Linked DNA regions of Cricetulus griseus. The protein of the gene in region 2 purifies or fractionates together with the protein of the main gene of each other region. This does not show direct contact. Links are inferred from orthologs where the notes say so. Each region holds a gene or a part of one and is shown on either strand. Other genes may lie near its edges.

Region 1 (3,360 bases), on a different chromosome or scaffold from region 2:
GTGTGTCACCAGCCCAGCCAGAGTCCAAGCCCATTACCCCTCCAGGAAAGGCTGGGAAGCCCCTGGAAATGCTCTGGCATAGTTGGGATGAAATCAACACCACTAGGAGGCAGAATGACCTCAGGTTAGGATGTTGCCTGATCCCTGATCCCAGTGGGCACGCTGGTATCCTGGGTTGTTTGCCTACCCACCTTGTCCTGGTATCCCCTGAGCTGTCCACATCCCTTCCAGTCCCGACAATGGGAAGCAGATTGGGTAACCCACAGCCTAGGACACTGAGCTTCTTCAAACAGCCCAACATGCCCCAGGGAACTGACAATGCCAAGTCATGGGGGTGGCTTGGCACCTAGATCAGCTTTCTCACTGCCCTGTATTGCCTGCACCTCCCTGAGGAGACTTGTCTTGCCCAGCCCACACGCAGGAGATGCCTCTGGGGGCCACTTGAGCCCCGGAATACTCTTCTGGGAAAGCATGGTCCTGAAATAAATCCCGTTTTGGCATCTTCTTGGGAGCAGGAGTGTTCCAGGGCTGTTTCCATGACTGAAGGTCAAATGCAAACAGGTCTCTCCTGGGCCCAGCAGCTGCCCCTGGACAGCACAGGAGCCAATGCTCCTCAGAGTCCACAGACCAAGCCAGCAAGGAGTTCAAGGTGGCCAAGGAGTGCCACATGAGGAATGGCACCTTAGAGAACATGAGAGTCTGGTTTCACCACTCACCAGACTGCTCTGGGGTCCAGGGGCTCAGAGACCTCCAGGGCTCAACGGGCCTGAGTTTCCAGGCCTGTGCAGCTGTGTGGGCTTCAGGGTAGGGCCTAACAGACTGCTAAGAAGCCATTTTCCAGTGCCACCCGCCTTTATTCACAGACCCTCAGTCTCCAACACAGACACTTGGATTCAAGAGGGCACAAGAAAAGGGGGCCTTGGTGATCCTCCCAGTACACCCCAGAAAGCCAGGACAGGCCTGGCAGCACCACTCCTTCAAGGTCAGCCTTAGTGCCCCTGCTCAAGGGCACTGCTGTGACCACAGGGCTACAGGTACCAGGAGACCAGGCCTGGTTGCTAGAGGCCCCTTCAGGGAGCCAGAACTGTCCTAGGCTCAGAGCTGATTCCACTCTGAAACTGAGGCAAGAAAGGGGCAAGTGGACAGTGGGGATGGGGGGGGGGGCTCCCCAAATGTCCAGGCCAGAAGAACAGCAAGTATCCATGGAGAGACCCAGACTGGATGCAGGTGGGACTGCACATGTCCTAATTTCTGGTCATTCAAGGTTCCAACAGAGGTCCCTTTTTTTCCTTTCTGACCTTAAGTAGCCAGGAAGGCGAGAGGAGAGGCATGGCAGGTAACAGCAGAGAGGGTTGGGTCGGCAGGGCCAGGTGCTACCCAAGATGCAGCTGGCCAGGGGAAAGGACAGGAGCTGACATGGCCAGACCCCTGTTCCCCCAGTGACAGGGGCAACTTGAGACCCTGGAGAGGAAAGGAAGGGCCTTGGCCATCAATCCTGCTGGCTCTGGGGATTGTGGCCTGCTAGAGCACACTCTCCTCCCCCCTCCCAGAAGCAGAGCCACCGGAACAGAGGAGACCAACATCAAGTGCACCCTGATCTTCTGGAGGCCAGGGGAGGGGCGCCAGGCACTCTAGGACTTCTTGGCATCCTGCGTGTTCCGGCGCTTCAGGTCACTCAGGTCGATGGGCTTGAAGGCTGTCAGGAGACAGTCTGGTTGGTGCTGGAAACAGAACCCTCACCCAGTCACCACTGCTGGAGGCTCCCAAACCCAAATGCCTTGGGAAGGACAACAGTGCAGTCGGGAAGCAGGGGCCTTCCCTCCAGGGCTGCCCTACTCACTCTTGAGGCTGGGGTTGGGAACCTTCTCCACATACTCCTCCACTAGGCCCCGCTCACCACCAGACAGCTGGCTGCGCAGGTCCCGCTCAACACCCTGCCAAGCTGCAACAAGAGGACACCTGGTTCAGAGCCCTGCCGTGTTCAAGACACCAGAGCATCTATAGAGTCTGTCCCGATGCGGGGCCAAGCATGCAGAGTGTCTGCCCTGACACCCCTGTTTCTACCAGTCTGCTGTCAGCTGAGCCCCAACCGTCCTCCCTCTGCACAGTTCTTCCTGCAGGCAGGCCAGTGCCTTCTGTGTGATGGCCACACCGAGCTGCAGAGGGCCACATACATGCCTTAGAGGGCCCTACCATCCCCACCTCTACCCACCCTACCTCTCTGTACATTTGTTCCAATTCCAACCACACCACCTCTGTCCACTTGAGTGACACTGTGTTCACAGCTACTTTCTCTCCCAAGGAAGTCTCTAGGCCTGAGGACTGACTCCAAGACACTTCTGGGGTTCTCCCCACCCCCACTTCCTGGGTTGTCATCACATGTCCCTCAGTCACCAGTCTTGCTGGTTCTAGAACTTAAGGCCACAGAGTATGGTGCCCTCTTCACTGAAGGTGACAGAGTGGGACAGGGGGGTATTCACCCACAGAGGACTGCAGAGGCAGAGCACAGGCGCCACTAGCACCAACCTTCATAAATGAAACGCACGTTCTCCTCGTGTGCCGGCGTGAAAATCTCACTGCTGTTGGTGGGAGAGCGTGGGCTGCTGTTTCTCTTGCCGTTGTAGACGACCCTGGAGACAGGAGAGCTGGGGAGAGCACCATGTGTGAGAAGGGATTAGGAGGACAGATGGGGCCCCAACTCCCACACACACCTAAGACCCACCTGGTCATTGCTGGGGTGTCTGGTCCTGGCGCTTGGCTGCTGGATCCTGCGGCCTATGAAACAAAAACCCCAGGCACTGGAGACATCACCTTTCCAGCAGAAAAAGGGGTAAACTCTGTGGCCCTGACTCCCCTGGGGACCCAACCTTTAGGCTGGGCCCAAGACTTGAGTGACTAATGGGCTCCAAGCAATCCTGAACAGATATGGAAGTGTTGGTGTCAGTCAGAGCACACAGAGGGCACAAGCAGGCCAAACCCTGGTTAAGTCAGCCAGGTCTGCCCCACAGGGCAACCAGGACCCTCTCAGTGTGTCCTTCTGACTGTCCACAGGGACTCAGTCTCCTGACTGTCCACAGGGACTCATGGTGAGAAAACCAGCCACCCTGAGCTCAATGACATTTAACAAATGACCCCAGGACACTAGAGAACCAGGAGGAAGATATCCCTGGAGGAAGCAGCCAGGCTGACCCGACCTGTGATCAAAACCCTGGAGTGCAACTTGTTTTCAGGCCAGAGGATTTTTGCTGCCCTGAGTAGGTGGGGTGTCTATGTTTAGGGTCAGATTCTTGTAATTAACCAGCTGAGGACACACTGCCCAATATGAGGAAACCAGTCATACAGGGCTAGTCCTAAGCCTGG
Region 2 (4,943 bases):
GCCAGCCTGGTCCTACAGAGCTAGTTCCATAACAGGTTCCAAAGCCACACAGAGAAACTCTGTCTCAAAAAAAAAAAAAAAAAAAAAAAAAAAAAAAAAAACAGCAACCAAAAGAAAAACAAAAACTCGGTTCAAAAAAGGAAAAAAGAAATTTCCTGTTGCTAAGGGGGGGGGGGACAGGGGGCTAAACAAAATTGTGGTTTTAATAAAAGTCTCCCAAATCACCGAGTACCAAGTCTAAGTAACAGTTATTTCAAGGAGTTGGTCAACCTCCTCCATTTTAAACTGTTCCCCAAATGGAATTCTCAAAATTTAGTACTAAAGAATTGCCGCCGGGCGTTGGTGGCGCAAGTCTTTAATCCCAACACTCTGGAGGCAGAGGCAGGCTGATCTCTGTGAGTTCCATACCAGTCTGTTCTACAAGAGCTAGTTCCAGGACAGCCTCCAAAAGCCACAGAAAAACCAAAAAAAAAAAAAGCCAAAGACCAGAGCACAAGTCCAACTCCTTTGGTTTTATCTTTTAACCCCCTTACATTCCACCCTCTCCCCAAACACTAACTTAATCAGTGTTAGTTATTTTTTCCATATACCAATGTATCCGAAATCCAAAATTTTAAAGTCAAAAGATATTTCAAGTTTTGTTAGCAAACACCGTTTGCTAAAACGAATAAAAAAAACTTTATGCATCAACTTGCTCACAAATGCTGCTTATCAAATGCAGTTGTTTATTCTGGTAACAGCTACTTTCTGTATTTACAGGTTCCTGTTATGATCAACAGTATCAGGTACATCCAACAGGAAGGCTTACCTGTTTGCAAAGCACTAAGAGGATGAGAGGGGCAATCTCTGAATACTAAATGACACCATGACTTCTGTCAATCATGCACAGTAAGACCTCCTATATTGCCTTAAATCCAAAGTGAGACTCCACGATAACTGCTCCCTACTTAAACTGACACCTGCACTGCAGCTTTCTGTCTTAGTGGAGAAATATTCTTCCCTACCCCTTCCCAGTTTCGATTTGCAAGTTATATTCCTACATTTAAAACACACACACACACACACACACACACACACACACACACACACACACACACACACACACAAAACCCCACGAAGGTACGTAGACTTAGTTGGGAGGAGCCCCTGGCGGAGTTAATTACAGCACTTCCCTGACCGTGGTTAGCAATTGACAGTTTCACACCCAAGACAGTATCATCAGCTCCAACAAGGGCTTTTGTTTGCAAATGCAGCGCAATTTCTCTAAGCCTCAGCAGGAAGTTAGAGTGGGGTTATTCCGAAGGAAAAGGGGGCTGTGGAAAAGGGAAGAGTCAAGCCAAGGACTGGAGTCCGGTAACCGTAGGGCAATAATTCCTCGCCCCCTCCCCCAACCACACTCTCTTCAAACCCAGCTCCCTCAGATCAAAAAACGCAAAAGGCTTTGGTGCCCTGCAATCCTATCTGCGCCACAAGAGCCGGAACCAGCTCCGCGGGTAGGAAACAATAGGGACTCCCCTCAGAAAGCCCGGAAGAGAACCCCCAAACTGGAAAGCCTCTGCTCTCCTCTAAGCCGGAGGCTCCCCTAAAGCCCCCAGTCCCCCGCGACCTGCAGGGCCTACTTGCAGCCCAGCCGCTGCGGGTCCTCTCCCAGGCCCGTCTCGGGCCAGCACAGCCCTGCCGCCCCCCACAGGGCTGCCTCGTACTCCCGACACCGCTGCCGAGTCGCGGCCGCCGCTCGGTCCCCTCGCCCGTCTAGCCCACGGCCAGCCCCGAGCACTCCGCCGCTCCTCCTCCAGACCCCGCGGCGCACCACATCCCTCGGTTCACTCCTCTCCGCCTCCCCCGCTCCACTCAGCGGTCGGCCGCCCGTCCTCCCCCGGCCGGGCCTGGGCCTCGGGCCTCCGCCCCAAGCGCGCCCCGACGCCCGCCCGAGGGGGCTCCCCGCGACCTCCATGGCCCCGCCGACCCCGACCACGCCGCCTCACCCCACGCCCCGCGGCTCGGGCCCGAGTCCTACCACCGAGGCCACTCCCGCTCCGCACCCTCGGTCCTTTATTGTTGACTCGAAGCTCCCAAAATGGCGGCGGCTCCTTCCTCCTCGGAAACCTCCGCCCGCCCCCACCGGCCCTCGCCGCTACGCCCGCCGCCCCGCCCCCGCCGCGCCGCCCGCCGCCCGCGCCGCCGCCGTCCCGCGCTACCTCGGCCGCGGCCCGGTGTGTCGGCGCCCCCGAAGTCGCCGCCGGGCTGAGCGGACTCTGCTCCTCTGCCCCCTCCCTCGCTCGCCGCCGCCGCCGCCGCCTCCCTCCCTCCCTCCTTCCCAGCCTCTCCGCATGGCGGCGGCCGCGGCTCCTCCTCCACACAAGATGGCGAGAGCCCGGCCGCTGCTGCAGCACCGCCGCCGCCGCCGCCGCCGCGGCGTCACGGCTTCCTGGGCGCGGTGGGCGAGGGTCGGGAGAGACCCTTCCCGGACCGCGCCGAGCTCAGGGAAACATGGGGCCGCTTTCCGGAGGGCTTGCCTGCAGAGCGGAGGAGACCCAGCTCGGGAGGGAATGGTGGCCGGGGACAGTCGCCCTTGCCTTCGTCCCTCCCTCCAAAGCTGGCTCGCGGGTCGGGGCCGGAGGGGAGGTCTGCTGACTCCTCACCAAGGACGCGCTCCGCGGGCAGGCAGCCGGCGGCGCGGGCTCGGGGCCGGGAAGCTGACCTGGGATGGCCGTGAGGCTGCTGCGAGGCCAGGCGCACCTCCACCCGGGGTCGCGCGGAAGTGGGGCTGGCGGGGCCCGCGCTGCTGGGCAGGCTGCGGGAAGGGGTACCGGCCCCGAGCCCGCTCCCAGGGAGAGCGAGAGCCGGGAGCGCGCCCTCGGTCGTGGGCTACCAAGCCCAGAGGGCAGGCGAGGTGACCCTTTGTTCCTGCCCGCAGTGACACTCTTCTGCAAAGGGCAAGACTGCCTCTACGAGCGAGGACTCTTACGGAAAAGGGAAACCAGTAGCTTCTCCTGCCTGACCCTCACTGCAGAGATACTCGTGCATTTGTTTCTATGATTTCCCGGTTCTAATGTCTTACCCTTAACAACAACAAAAAAGCCGTCTTGTTCCAAGTAAAATAAGCATTTGGAGATAAAATCGAGCTGGGCTAAAGGGAAAGTAAAAATCTAAGTCTCACGTGGCTGAGAGGCTGGAAATAACTGACAATGGTCAAACCATATGTGACAATAGGACTCCATCCCGGAACACACAAATTAATGGGCCCCGGACAGTCAATACTTGAGTCACTGACTAGCACCTCCCTTTTTTTTTTTTTTTTTTTGCCGCGGCTTCCAACTTGAGACCAATCAGAAGAAGCCAAATATGTTCTCTAAACCAATGAGTCCCTGCTTCTAGCCCTCCTCCTGTTTTCTTGCCAACAAGATCCAATCAGAATAAGCCTGAAGCCTTTCTTCCCTCCCAACCCAATTTTTTTTTTTTTTTTTACTGTAGCGCTTAACTTTTTTTTTTTCTTCCTTCGAGGGTTTAACTCTTTACCAAACGCCCGTGGATGCTTGTTGACCCCATTGCCTTAGCAAACCCCGACCAAATAACATCCTGTTGTCATTTGGTGATTCTGATTTAGTTCCATAAAGCAAAGACTGCCCTGTGTTGTCTTGAGACAGATTCTTGCACCATAGCTCTGGCTAGCCTGGAACTCATGGCTGGGATTTACAAGTGTGTGCCATTACACTAAGTGCGTTATTATTGTTGTTGTTATTTTACGTTTTGCAACTCTGAGTTTAAAGCATGTCACCTCCCATCCAGATTTTAAAGTAACTTCATGCAAGGGGATAAGGCCCGCACCTTGTGCTCACCCTGGAGAGAATCTAAGTGAGCTAAATGATCTATCTCTTGGAGGTATGAGGCCTTGTGTGTCCCTTTTTGTTGTGGTGTTTGGTTTTTGGAGGTAGGGTTTCCCCGTGTAGCCCTGACTTTCCTGGGACTGGCACTGTAGACCAGGCTGGCTCAGACTCAGAGATCTGCCTGCCTCTGCCTCACTGAGTGCTAAGGTTAAAGGCTTGCGACAACACTGTCTGGCCTAAAGCTGTTTTGTTTTGTTTTTTTTGGTTTTTCGAGACAGGGTTTCTCTGTGGCTTTAGAGCCTGTCCTGGAACTCACTCTGTAGATCAGGCCGGTCTCAAACTCACTGAGATTCGCCTGCCTCTGCCTCATAAGTGCTGGGACTAAAGGCATGCACCACCAATGCCCAGCCTGTGTTCTTATTTTTAAAGTGAGTGATAATCCATTACCATCTTTAAAAATGCTTTTTTTTTGGATCAGGCTTGTGTTCACACCTTAATCCCATCACTTGGGAGGCAGAGATAGGCAGATCTCTGGGAGTTTGAGGCAGCCTGTCTACATAGTGAGTTCCAGGCTAACCAGTTGGACTCTTGTCTTTAGAAAAAAAAAGTAGAAGGTTGTGGTCAGATGGCTCAGTGATAAAGATGTTTGCCTCTAAACCTGACAACCTCAGTTTGACCCTCAAGAACAGAACTTAATACTATACATTGTCCTCAACCTCGAAAGTCCACCCACATACAAAATTAAATGTGATTTTAGAAAATACAAATGGGGTCTTGAGAGATGGCTCAGAGGGTGGAAGCAATTGCTACTCTTGCAGAGGACCTAGGTTCAATTTCTAACACCCACATTGCAGCTCACAACTGACTTAATCCAGTTCTGGGAGATCTGACATCCTTTTTCTGGACCAGGCACACACACACCTTGCATGCAGGCAAAAAAAAAAAACCCATACACATAAAAAAAGGTAAAATTAAAAATGAGTTCTTTGCTAATGCACATAGTATCTTTATGTTTATAAAATGTATACTTTTTCAGGAAAATGATCCAGAAACCCACCTACAAGGTGAACAAATAGAAAAGTACTTTAGCAAGAAAAGTACTTTAGTACTTTGTTT
Region 3 (4,185 bases), on a different chromosome or scaffold from region 2:
GTGGATTATCCTAATGCCCCTCCCATAAGCATACTTTCCCCCTTCTAATCATCTCACCTTTCTGCCAAGGTACTACAAGTCTCACGAGTAATGTCAGGTGCTGTAGGCCAGACTTGACTGTCAGGGGTTGCAACCTCCTGGGTCAAGGCTGCTTCCAGTAGGGAGGGGGTATTATGCCGATCCCCATCCCCAGGGCCTCCATCTAGGCCAAGCTGAGAGCCAAGCTCAGGGCCTTGCCTGGGCCGAGGAGACAGTAAGTGTAGTGCTGAAGCAGCTGAGGCCATACTGTCTGGCTCAATGAGGCCCTCAGGAACAGAGGAGCCAAAGCCACGGGACAAGGCCTCAGATGCAATTTCAGGGATGTCCTGGGACAGGGCAGTGGAAGCTGAAGAGATCACATCAGGGGAACGGGTGCGACTGGGAGAGGCCTGGGGTAGCCCCAGAGGTTCCACTTCTTGCAAATCCAAGGATAGTGCAGAGGCAGCAGTAGATACCTGAGAAGGGCCAAAGATGGAGGCTTAAGTAATAAGGGGTACGGAGACAAGGAACTGGTATCACAGTGATGAGACAGTGTAACAGGGAAGAGATATGCAAGTAAAAAGCAGGGCCACAGTTCACAAGGGAGGGGTGGGAATGGGAGGCTGAGGATTTGCCACTGGAACATGAAAACCTCTATAATCTTTGAGAAATATGAAGCCCCCAAGGACAAGCAGGATCAGCAGAAAAAATATGTAGGAATAGAGAGCTCCAATCTTCCCCATTGCCCCCCACCTGCTACCCAGTACCTCATTACCCTCCCCCCCCCCCCCCCACCCCCACATACACACCTGCCCAGGTCCCTTGGGAGTCAATTTGTCAGCTGGGCCTGAGAGCAGCCCAGGAAGGAGGCTTCGAGGGCTTGCCTGCAGGCTGCTGCTGCTGTTTATTGTCAGGCTGCCATCCAGCTGCAGCTTGGGACTCAAGGTCAGCTCCTCAGGTGGTCTACTGTCAGAAGGGTGAGATATTAGCTACTGTAATTTGTCACAATCTGGTACTAGACTCTACTATCACATGATCTTTGCCTTACCTGGGCAAGGAGGGGTCCATGGCTGAGGAGCTACTCACAGCAGACACAGCTGTTAGAGAGCTGCTGCTGCTGCTGCTGCTACTGCTGCTGCTGCTGCTGCTGCTGCTGCTACTGCTACTGCTAGGGGACGCAGACATCTGGGAAGATCCAGAGAATGAGCACTAAGGATGCGAATGGAACATTACCAGGCCTCTCTTCACTGAGGAAGTACCTGCTGCAGGGAAGCGGTAGGCGTCATGAAAGCATCAGGTGTCATCAACTTAGGCTTGGTCTCACTGCTCAGACTGAGGAAGTCTGAAGGTGCAGGGAGTTCCACGATGCGTCGAAGGTCAGGCTGAGACCCATGAGCAGCTGAAGCTAATCCCTCAGAGCCTAGTTCAGGTCGGGACTCTCCAAACGCTGTTGGGAAAGCTACTTGAGTCAGATCTCAGAACCATGTCAGTATAACCTGCATCCCTTCTATTCCCTAACTCACTGAAGTCCTCGTGAGCAGGGTGGGTAGGCAGTGGAGCCACCACATCAGGGTTCAGTTGTGGCTGGAAGCGGATCTGTACATCCTGTAGTGCCCTAAAGAACAAGAAAGGGGAAGAATAGATTACTTGAATGAGCCAGGGCCAGTAGGGTAGGGAAAGAGACAGGACATGCGGGCTTCCCTGACACTCACTTAGTATGCACACAAAAGAGCTTGATAAGCACACCAGCTGCAGATTCCATGGCACTAGCTCCATGGGAACTCTCTGAAAGGACAGTGTGGATCATTGAGCATTGAGTAGCTTGCCCTGTGCCTCAACACTTCCCACATACCAACAAATAACCCCAGCCCTGGGGCACCTCACCAGCCCCCAGACTGTCATTCTCCTCCTCAGCAGGCAGCACCTCAGTGTGCCGCAGCCGGCATCGACTCACAACCTGGATGCCAAAGCTCAGCACAGGGTGGGTAAGCAGGAACTCAGAGATGGAACTAAAGCAAGCACGGCCTTCGTCTTGGTTCTGTAGCAGCTCCATCACATAGAGGACCTGTGTGAGCAACACATTCCTAATGGAACTGAACTGAGGGATATGTCACGCATCCCTGCCCTCCTTCCCAGTGTACGGCCACAGCAGCCTACCTTTCGTTGCACATCACTAAGAATCAGATACTCCGCCGAGAGGTCCAAGCAAACTTTGAGGCTGGGAGGTACGCTCACTGAGCTGAAGATATCTGGGGAGAAACTAGGAAGCCAAGAAGTAGACCAGGTAAGACTGAGAATTCAAAGAAGTCATATCCCTGGCCTATCCTCAACCCACTAGTTCTAGTTTACCGAATGGTTTGCAGGCAGGTCCAGGAAACTGTACACCACATCTTTAGCTCCCGATTTTGGTCAGCGCCAGTAATGAGGAACCTCCAGAATGGGACCCTGAAAAGAAACAAGGCACTGATTGGTTACCTGGTAGGAGTCCATGGACAAGCCCACCACTGACTTTGTCTGCCCACTCACTCACTCAGGATCCTGTTTTTTATGGTTATCACAGAATAAGAGGCAAGAAAGGGGTCGTCCATCATGAGGCTTCCATTCATGCAGACACCTATAAGCAGACAGGTGAGGGGCCTAAGTGAACAAACTATTCAACTTTCTAGACAGGGGGTACAGAGTAGGGTCTTTCAGGTCTTGCCTCACCTTGGCTCATCCTGACCTTCAATGTAGATCTGCCAGAACTTGACAAAGCCATCATGGCTTGCAGTAGCCAGAACAGTCCCATCAGGAGAGAGGGCTCCTTCACTTAAGCACTGCAAAGAACCCAAAAAGTTCCAGGAGAGCCAGGGCTACACAGACAAACTGTCTCAAAACAACAACAAAAGCAAAACCCCCCAAAGCTGTGCTTTTCCTCCTGACCTGAGGCAGGAATGAGCCCTTCCTAAATGACGATGGTGGTGAGCTGGGCTGACTGACAATAGACTCACACTTCTATGTGACTGAATAGAGCAGGTAGACACTACAGAGAAAACTAGTCTTTCGGGCACATCTAGATTAGAAGTGAACTGTACAAGCGAGAGCCAATTTTTGTGTTCAACATCCCCACTGACAACATACTGGTAAAGCCACTTGGGCAGTTATGAAAATGGAGAATTGATGAAGGGCACAGAAAGAGGAGAAATGTAGGGAGGCAACCAGTTGTAGGCCTACCGTGCTATGGCCTTTTACCACAATGAAGCCCTGCTTGATTTGGCTGACATCCACAGGCCAGGTATTATGGCTGGAGCGAAGCATATCCAGGTCCCATACCTCAGCCTAGGGGTACAGGGAGGCATTTAGCCCACATGCAAAAATGGCAGTGCTGATACCTCCTTCACCAGACCCAGTACTCTCACCCGGTCTTCATGCAGCAGGGCCACTGTTGGGCTACTTTCCTCACAACAGTCCTCACTTTCCTCAGGGATGAAGGGGCACCAGATGATCCTTCGGAAGTGGTTCAGTGGTGTGCCCTCTGGCTGTCTGATATGGACTAAAATCTCTTCTCTGAGTAGGGAGTTAAGGCTTAGATAGGTAGAAACATCCCTAGCAGCCCCAGACCCAGTTCTACTTCTTCAGTCCCTTGCCTGGGAATGGATACTGAATTTTACCCTTAACCAGAGCCAAGCGCCACACAAAAAGATTGCCGGCCTCATCCAGGCAGGCAAGCTGTGGAGAGTTGAGGTGTGCGAAGGCCAGATCAGCCACACTGCCTGTGAAACCTTTGAGTAGGGTCCGCTCTGAAGTGCTGACACTGATCACACGTACCATTGCTGAGCCGTTGTTGGCAGCTGGAATGTGAAGAGTAGAGAATCTGAGCAAGCTCCTGACCCAGGCAGCAGGATAGAAGCCCTGCCCTTGCCTACCTCACTGCTGTCATCACACTAACAAGCCTGTTTCCCCTAACCATCTCCGCCAGCCCTATTGTACCACAATCATCCAAGTGGCCTGAGTTGCCTGACCCTAAATCTGCATTTCTGGGGCTTCTAACAGAGCACTTTCTTTTTTCTTTCTTTTTTTTTTTCTTTCTTTGTTTTTCAAAACAGGGCTTCTCTGTGTAGGTATGGAGCCTGTCCTGGAACTCATTCTGTAGACCAGGCTAGCCTTAAACTCAGAGAGATCGCCGGC
Region 4 (4,185 bases), on a different chromosome or scaffold from region 2:
GCTGTAATTTGGCAGAGAAAAACCAATCTAACTGGTTTAGGATGCAAAGCTGCTTATATCTAGTGCATAAGTTTTTATTGCATAAGTCTTTATTAGTCAAGGGCAGGAATACATCATTGATAATCCCAAGGCTGCCTGCCTCCTGCAGGCTGCTCCTCTAACCTGACACAAACCAAGAGTGCCATCCAATCCATTGACCATGTATCTGCTCTGGAGGACTGCCTTCAATACTTGGGGAACAGTTACGGCAAAGCAAAGTGCTTTGTAGCTATAGCAGTTTTCATTCATACTAGACTAGGGTGTTCACCCTAGCAAGATAGCCCAGTGAGAACGAGCAAGCCTACTTCATCTATGGTCATCAGGTCACTTTCTGGCATATCATATGGTACCTTGTAAGTACCTCCACACCCTTAACTAGCGGAGGTATGCTGTAGGTCTGACTAGAACCTGCTTCTGAGTAGGCCTTGGACGTGACACAGGTGATGGAGGCAGCATTTGAAGGTTTGAATGTTTATTTAGTTTGCATTACCCCAACAGTAGCCCCAGTGCTGTGTTCTATTCTCAGCTATGAAGTCCTACAAAAATAAACCCAAGCTTTTGCAATGCGACTTCATCAACACAGAACTAAAGCTTTGTAGCTATTTGAAGGGGTTTTGGTTATCAAGGTGCTTGTTTTCAACAAAATGCCCTGTCAGTCAGAGGATGCATGCTCATACAGAAAAATCTGACCCATTTACTCATGCAACAAAGTTTATGTTCCCACCCTCCCTCCATCACCTTTAAAATAAACACACAACAACTATTTACAAACGAGGAAATAAGGCCAGTGACCTTAGAAAGAAGGGGGAAAAAAAAAAAAAACTGGCTCATTTCAAAGTAGATGAGAACACTTAAGTGCAGCCAGAGTCTAACAATGACTGACCTGGGCTAGAGGCGACAAGGACAGGAAGGTTGGTCACACCATATTGGCTTGTCTTGGACTTCGACACTAAGCCTCAGTACCTGTGGAAGCCAGGCTCTACATGACACTCAGGGGGCCCTTCCTACTGTACTCCTCCTCTGTCAGCCTCGAACCCTGAACATCACTTGTTCATTACACAACATGATCCATGGAACACCACCCCCTCCCTGCCCTTGACCCTCCCACCCCTATCCTATGACTGGTTCACCCTGTGCTGGCCCTGCCTGGATCCTGAGACTTCCCACTGTTAGCAGATGGGGTACCAGGCCAGCAGCACCAGGGGCCAGATGGGTTGCAGAGACACATTTGGACACCACACGTGCCAAATAAAATTTGGTTCCGTTTTAAGAGTCAAAGCTGTCGTTTAAAAAAAAAAAAAAAAAATTACAAAGTGAGGACTGAGCCTTTGCCTATAGAAACCTTTTTGCAAAATACCAAAACCTTACAATTCGGCTGTGTGCAACCAAGAAGAAAATGTAGGTCAAGATACCTTCAGGAGATCACCTACAAATACTTCCCCCAAAACAAGTGGTTCTAATCAGACCACATCCAAGTTTAGGTTGAGTCCAAAGCCAAGTAGTATGAGGGTGTCCAGACTTGGTAAACAAGATCCTTGTGTCCTTATCTTCAGAACCCTGTGAGAGGACAGGAAGTCAGTGTCCAACAGGTATCTGTCACACAGCTATCTATTCCCTCACCACCCTGGGGACCGGAAGGCAGTAAAGGTAGGGAACTGGCCCTCCACATCCTACATGGAATTGCATAGGACGCTCCAGCCCTTGTTTCTGTGAACAGACAGGCTTGCTCCCCACTTCTAAGTATGGTCTAGGGATGTTCACCCCACCACCTCCTTCCCCAAGGATCCAGAACGGTTCCCACTCACGTGTACTGCACCCTTACACCCGGCCAGTCCCAGCTCGGTGGGAAGTGGGGTTGCGCCGTGTTGTCCCATTGCCTCTACCTCCTCGGAATCCACCACGTGAACTGCGGCCACGAAGGAACCTCCCAGACACCCCAAAGGTCTCAGTGTTCAGCTTTCTCTCTTCAGCCCATGTCGTCCGCCTAGAACTAAACCAAAAGATGAGGTATGTTAAGATCTGACTATAAGCTGGGCGGTGGGGTTGCACACCTTTTATCCCAACACTTGGGAAGCAGAGGCAGGTCTACAGAGCAAGCTCCAGGACAGCAAGGGCTACCCAGGGAAACCGTCTTTTGAAAAACAACAACAAAATCTGACTGTAGTGGGCAACAACTACAGTTTCTGAAATAGGCTTTGTCCCTTGAACAGCAGAAACGGAAGGATGAGCAGGGGAACACTCAACCTAATGCTGCAGAGATCAGGCCTATTTTGGCTCAAGATCCCTCTATCACCAAGAGTAAACAAGTGACACAAGTGGGTGACAAAGAAGCCCTTAAGAGCTCACACAAAAGCATTTAGATCCCAGCCCTTCCTGCTGCCACGTTTGGTCCCCATCCTCCAGCTGAACCATCTAGCTTCCATACCAGCCCATCTTCAGTCACTGTCACCAAGAGGCAGTACAGGTCAACCAGCCGCTCCTGACTGTCTGATTATTTGCTTAGAATATAGTCTACACTATCCCTCGCCCATTCAGATGCATAGCCATGTGCAGGTTGCTGAGACCTGGCCACACCCTCCTACAAGATACAGCCGGGCTTAAGTTCTTCTTTTAGCTTGTGTCACTCTTGCTTCGATTGCTCCCCTAGTATGTGTGCATGGCCCAGGCTACCCAGCTCACTTCCTGTTCTTCAATGGCCTGAGTTGCACACTATGCCTGCTCTGAAGCTTACCATACAGTCTAGGGGTGCTCATCTACAGTGCTGACACACATCACAATCTCTGACTTCCAGGACTTGAGAGGACAGGCAGGCACATCAGGCAGGAAAGAGCAGCACTAATGGGGATGCAAGAACTCAACCTCAGCAAGTCCTCATCAGGTTAGGGGACAGACAGAGGGTTCTGGCACTACATCCTAGATGGCATGGACAGACCCAGTTGGTACTCTTGTAGTTGTCATGTAGAAATATGTAGAAAACAAGCTCAAAGCTTGGACTTAATGTTAGTATACTTTAAGTCACATGCTTCTTAGACTTACAAAACAGCTACCCTTTCCGCAGTGTGCTTAGGCCCTTACCTTGTTTTGAGTTCAGAAGAAATGTTGTCAAAGAAGGACTTGGACTTGTCATAGTAACAGTTGGGCCCCAGAAGATCTTCCTCAGCAGGAGTCTCTTCACTCTGGGTCATCACTGCTGGGTCCTTCTCTTCCCCTTTCTCAGCCTTGTCATCTACAAAGACAAACACTACCCAGTCAGTCTCCTGTTAGGGGTCCACTCTGCAGCTGTCCTCAGGCCCAGAGAGATCCTTTCCTCTCATGGCAAGTCACAAGCTTCACACACCCATCCCAGCCCTCCTCATCTATTCCTCAGAGTGCACTCCAATTCCCACACTGGTCAGGACCTCAACTCACTCCAGAGTGATGCCAGTCATTCTGTCCCAACATGCTCTAGGGATTCTCTTGGGGGATAACTTTCAAATGAATCAGACCTTTAAAATTCAATTTCTTCTTAAATTCTTTATCAAGCTCTTCTCGGTTGAACTGGGCATTTGCACTCTCAAAATCAAAGTCACCTTCAAACTTGATTGTGTTTTCCTTAACATTAGTTGGACGGTTTTGCCCTCTGGAACGATTTCTTGTTCGCCGATTGCCTATGTAGACAATAAACAGCATGGGCTGAATTCACCAACTTATTTCCAGCTTGAATTCAAAAGCAACTCACAGACACACTGATGACAAATGGCACGGTTCACTGAAGCACCACCTTAGCCCCAAGTTCCCAGCACAGGAAGCAAAGCACAGCCTGCTGCTCATGGCTACAGAACTCCAGTGGCCCTGGGTGTTACCTGACCGCCTCCGTGGAGGTCTTCTGTTCTCGTCATTCACCTGCCCTTGGGTGTGCACAGGTGTCGGCTGGACTACATCTAAGGTGCAAAGGGAAAAGTGAGGCCAAGCTCCGCAGAAGCCAGAACCCAGCCACCAAAAGCAGAGCGCCACTACCACATGCTACCTGCCCACAGGCCTGCTTGCAAAAGTGTGTGGTCTGGGATGAGGGCAATGCTTTAAAATCCATGTCCCAGTGAGTATGACATTGGAGACACAGAGAAACTGCAGGGGAAATCAGTGTTCAAGTACCGCTGGCAGTCTTGC

What was found. Proteins that work in one complex are often made in the same cells at the same time.
Region 1: the proteins of Ddx6 (region 2) and Mcrip1 purify together in Homo sapiens (affinity purification with mass spectrometry; 3 studies listed by BioGRID and IntAct, with this or other methods). This does not show direct contact. The link is inferred for Cricetulus griseus from reciprocal best matches to the Homo sapiens genes DDX6 and MCRIP1.
Region 3: the proteins of Ddx6 (region 2) and Edc4 purify together in Homo sapiens (affinity purification with mass spectrometry; 4 studies listed by BioGRID and IntAct, counting the BioPlex papers as one, with this or other methods). This does not show direct contact. The link is inferred for Cricetulus griseus from reciprocal best matches to the Homo sapiens genes DDX6 and EDC4.
Region 4: the proteins of Ddx6 (region 2) and Lsm14b purify together in Homo sapiens (affinity purification with mass spectrometry; 4 studies listed by BioGRID and IntAct, counting the BioPlex papers as one, with this or other methods). This does not show direct contact. The link is inferred for Cricetulus griseus from reciprocal best matches to the Homo sapiens genes DDX6 and LSM14B.

The regions. Positions count from the first base shown.
Region 1 is NC_048600.1:133,030,607-133,033,966, forward strand, and holds the end of Mcrip1 (mapk-regulated corepressor-interacting protein 1), read right to left. Parts: intron 2,776-3,360; 5' UTR 2,731-2,775; coding exon 2,723-2,730; intron 2,646-2,722; coding exon 2,527-2,645; intron 1,943-2,526; coding exon 1,841-1,942; intron 1,697-1,840; coding exon 1,632-1,696; 3' UTR 834-1,631; downstream 1-833. UniProt on the Homo sapiens protein: The phosphorylation status of MCRIP1 functions as a molecular switch to regulate epithelial-mesenchymal transition. Unphosphorylated MCRIP1 binds to and inhibits the transcriptional corepressor CTBP(s).
Region 2 is NC_048597.1:156,290,062-156,295,004, reverse strand, and holds the start of Ddx6 (probable ATP-dependent RNA helicase DDX6), read right to left. Parts: upstream 3,241-4,943; 5' UTR 3,161-3,240; exon of another isoform or gene 3,062-3,160; intron 2,300-3,061; exon of another isoform or gene 2,199-2,299; intron 2,129-2,198; exon of another isoform or gene 1,986-2,128; intron 1-1,985.
Region 3 is NC_048596.1:182,173,238-182,177,422, reverse strand, and holds part of Edc4 (enhancer of mRNA-decapping protein 4), read right to left. Parts: intron 3,849-4,185; coding exon 3,659-3,848; intron 3,565-3,658; coding exon 3,417-3,564; intron 3,337-3,416; coding exon 3,232-3,336; intron 2,835-3,231; coding exon 2,725-2,834; intron 2,633-2,724; coding exon 2,549-2,632; intron 2,464-2,548; coding exon 2,368-2,463; intron 2,279-2,367; coding exon 2,176-2,278; intron 2,084-2,175; coding exon 1,903-2,083; intron 1,804-1,902; coding exon 1,731-1,803; intron 1,634-1,730; coding exon 1,542-1,633; intron 1,478-1,541; coding exon 1,278-1,477; intron 1,228-1,277; coding exon 1,067-1,227; intron 985-1,066; coding exon 828-984; intron 495-827; coding exon 58-494; intron 1-57. UniProt on the Homo sapiens protein: In the process of mRNA degradation, seems to play a role in mRNA decapping. Component of a complex containing DCP2 and DCP1A which functions in decapping of ARE-containing mRNAs. Promotes complex formation between DCP1A and DCP2.
Region 4 is NC_048599.1:1,901,678-1,905,862, forward strand, and holds the end of Lsm14b (protein LSM14 homolog B), read right to left. Parts: coding exon 4,171-4,185; intron 3,960-4,170; coding exon 3,882-3,959; intron 3,687-3,881; coding exon 3,525-3,686; intron 3,266-3,524; coding exon 3,115-3,265; intron 2,030-3,114; coding exon 1,858-2,029; 3' UTR 1,845-1,857; intron 1,597-1,844; coding exon of another isoform or gene 1,589-1,596; 3' UTR 68-1,588; downstream 1-67. UniProt on the Homo sapiens protein: mRNA-binding protein essential for female fertility, oocyte meiotic maturation and the assembly of MARDO (mitochondria-associated ribonucleoprotein domain), a membraneless compartment that stores maternal mRNAs in oocytes.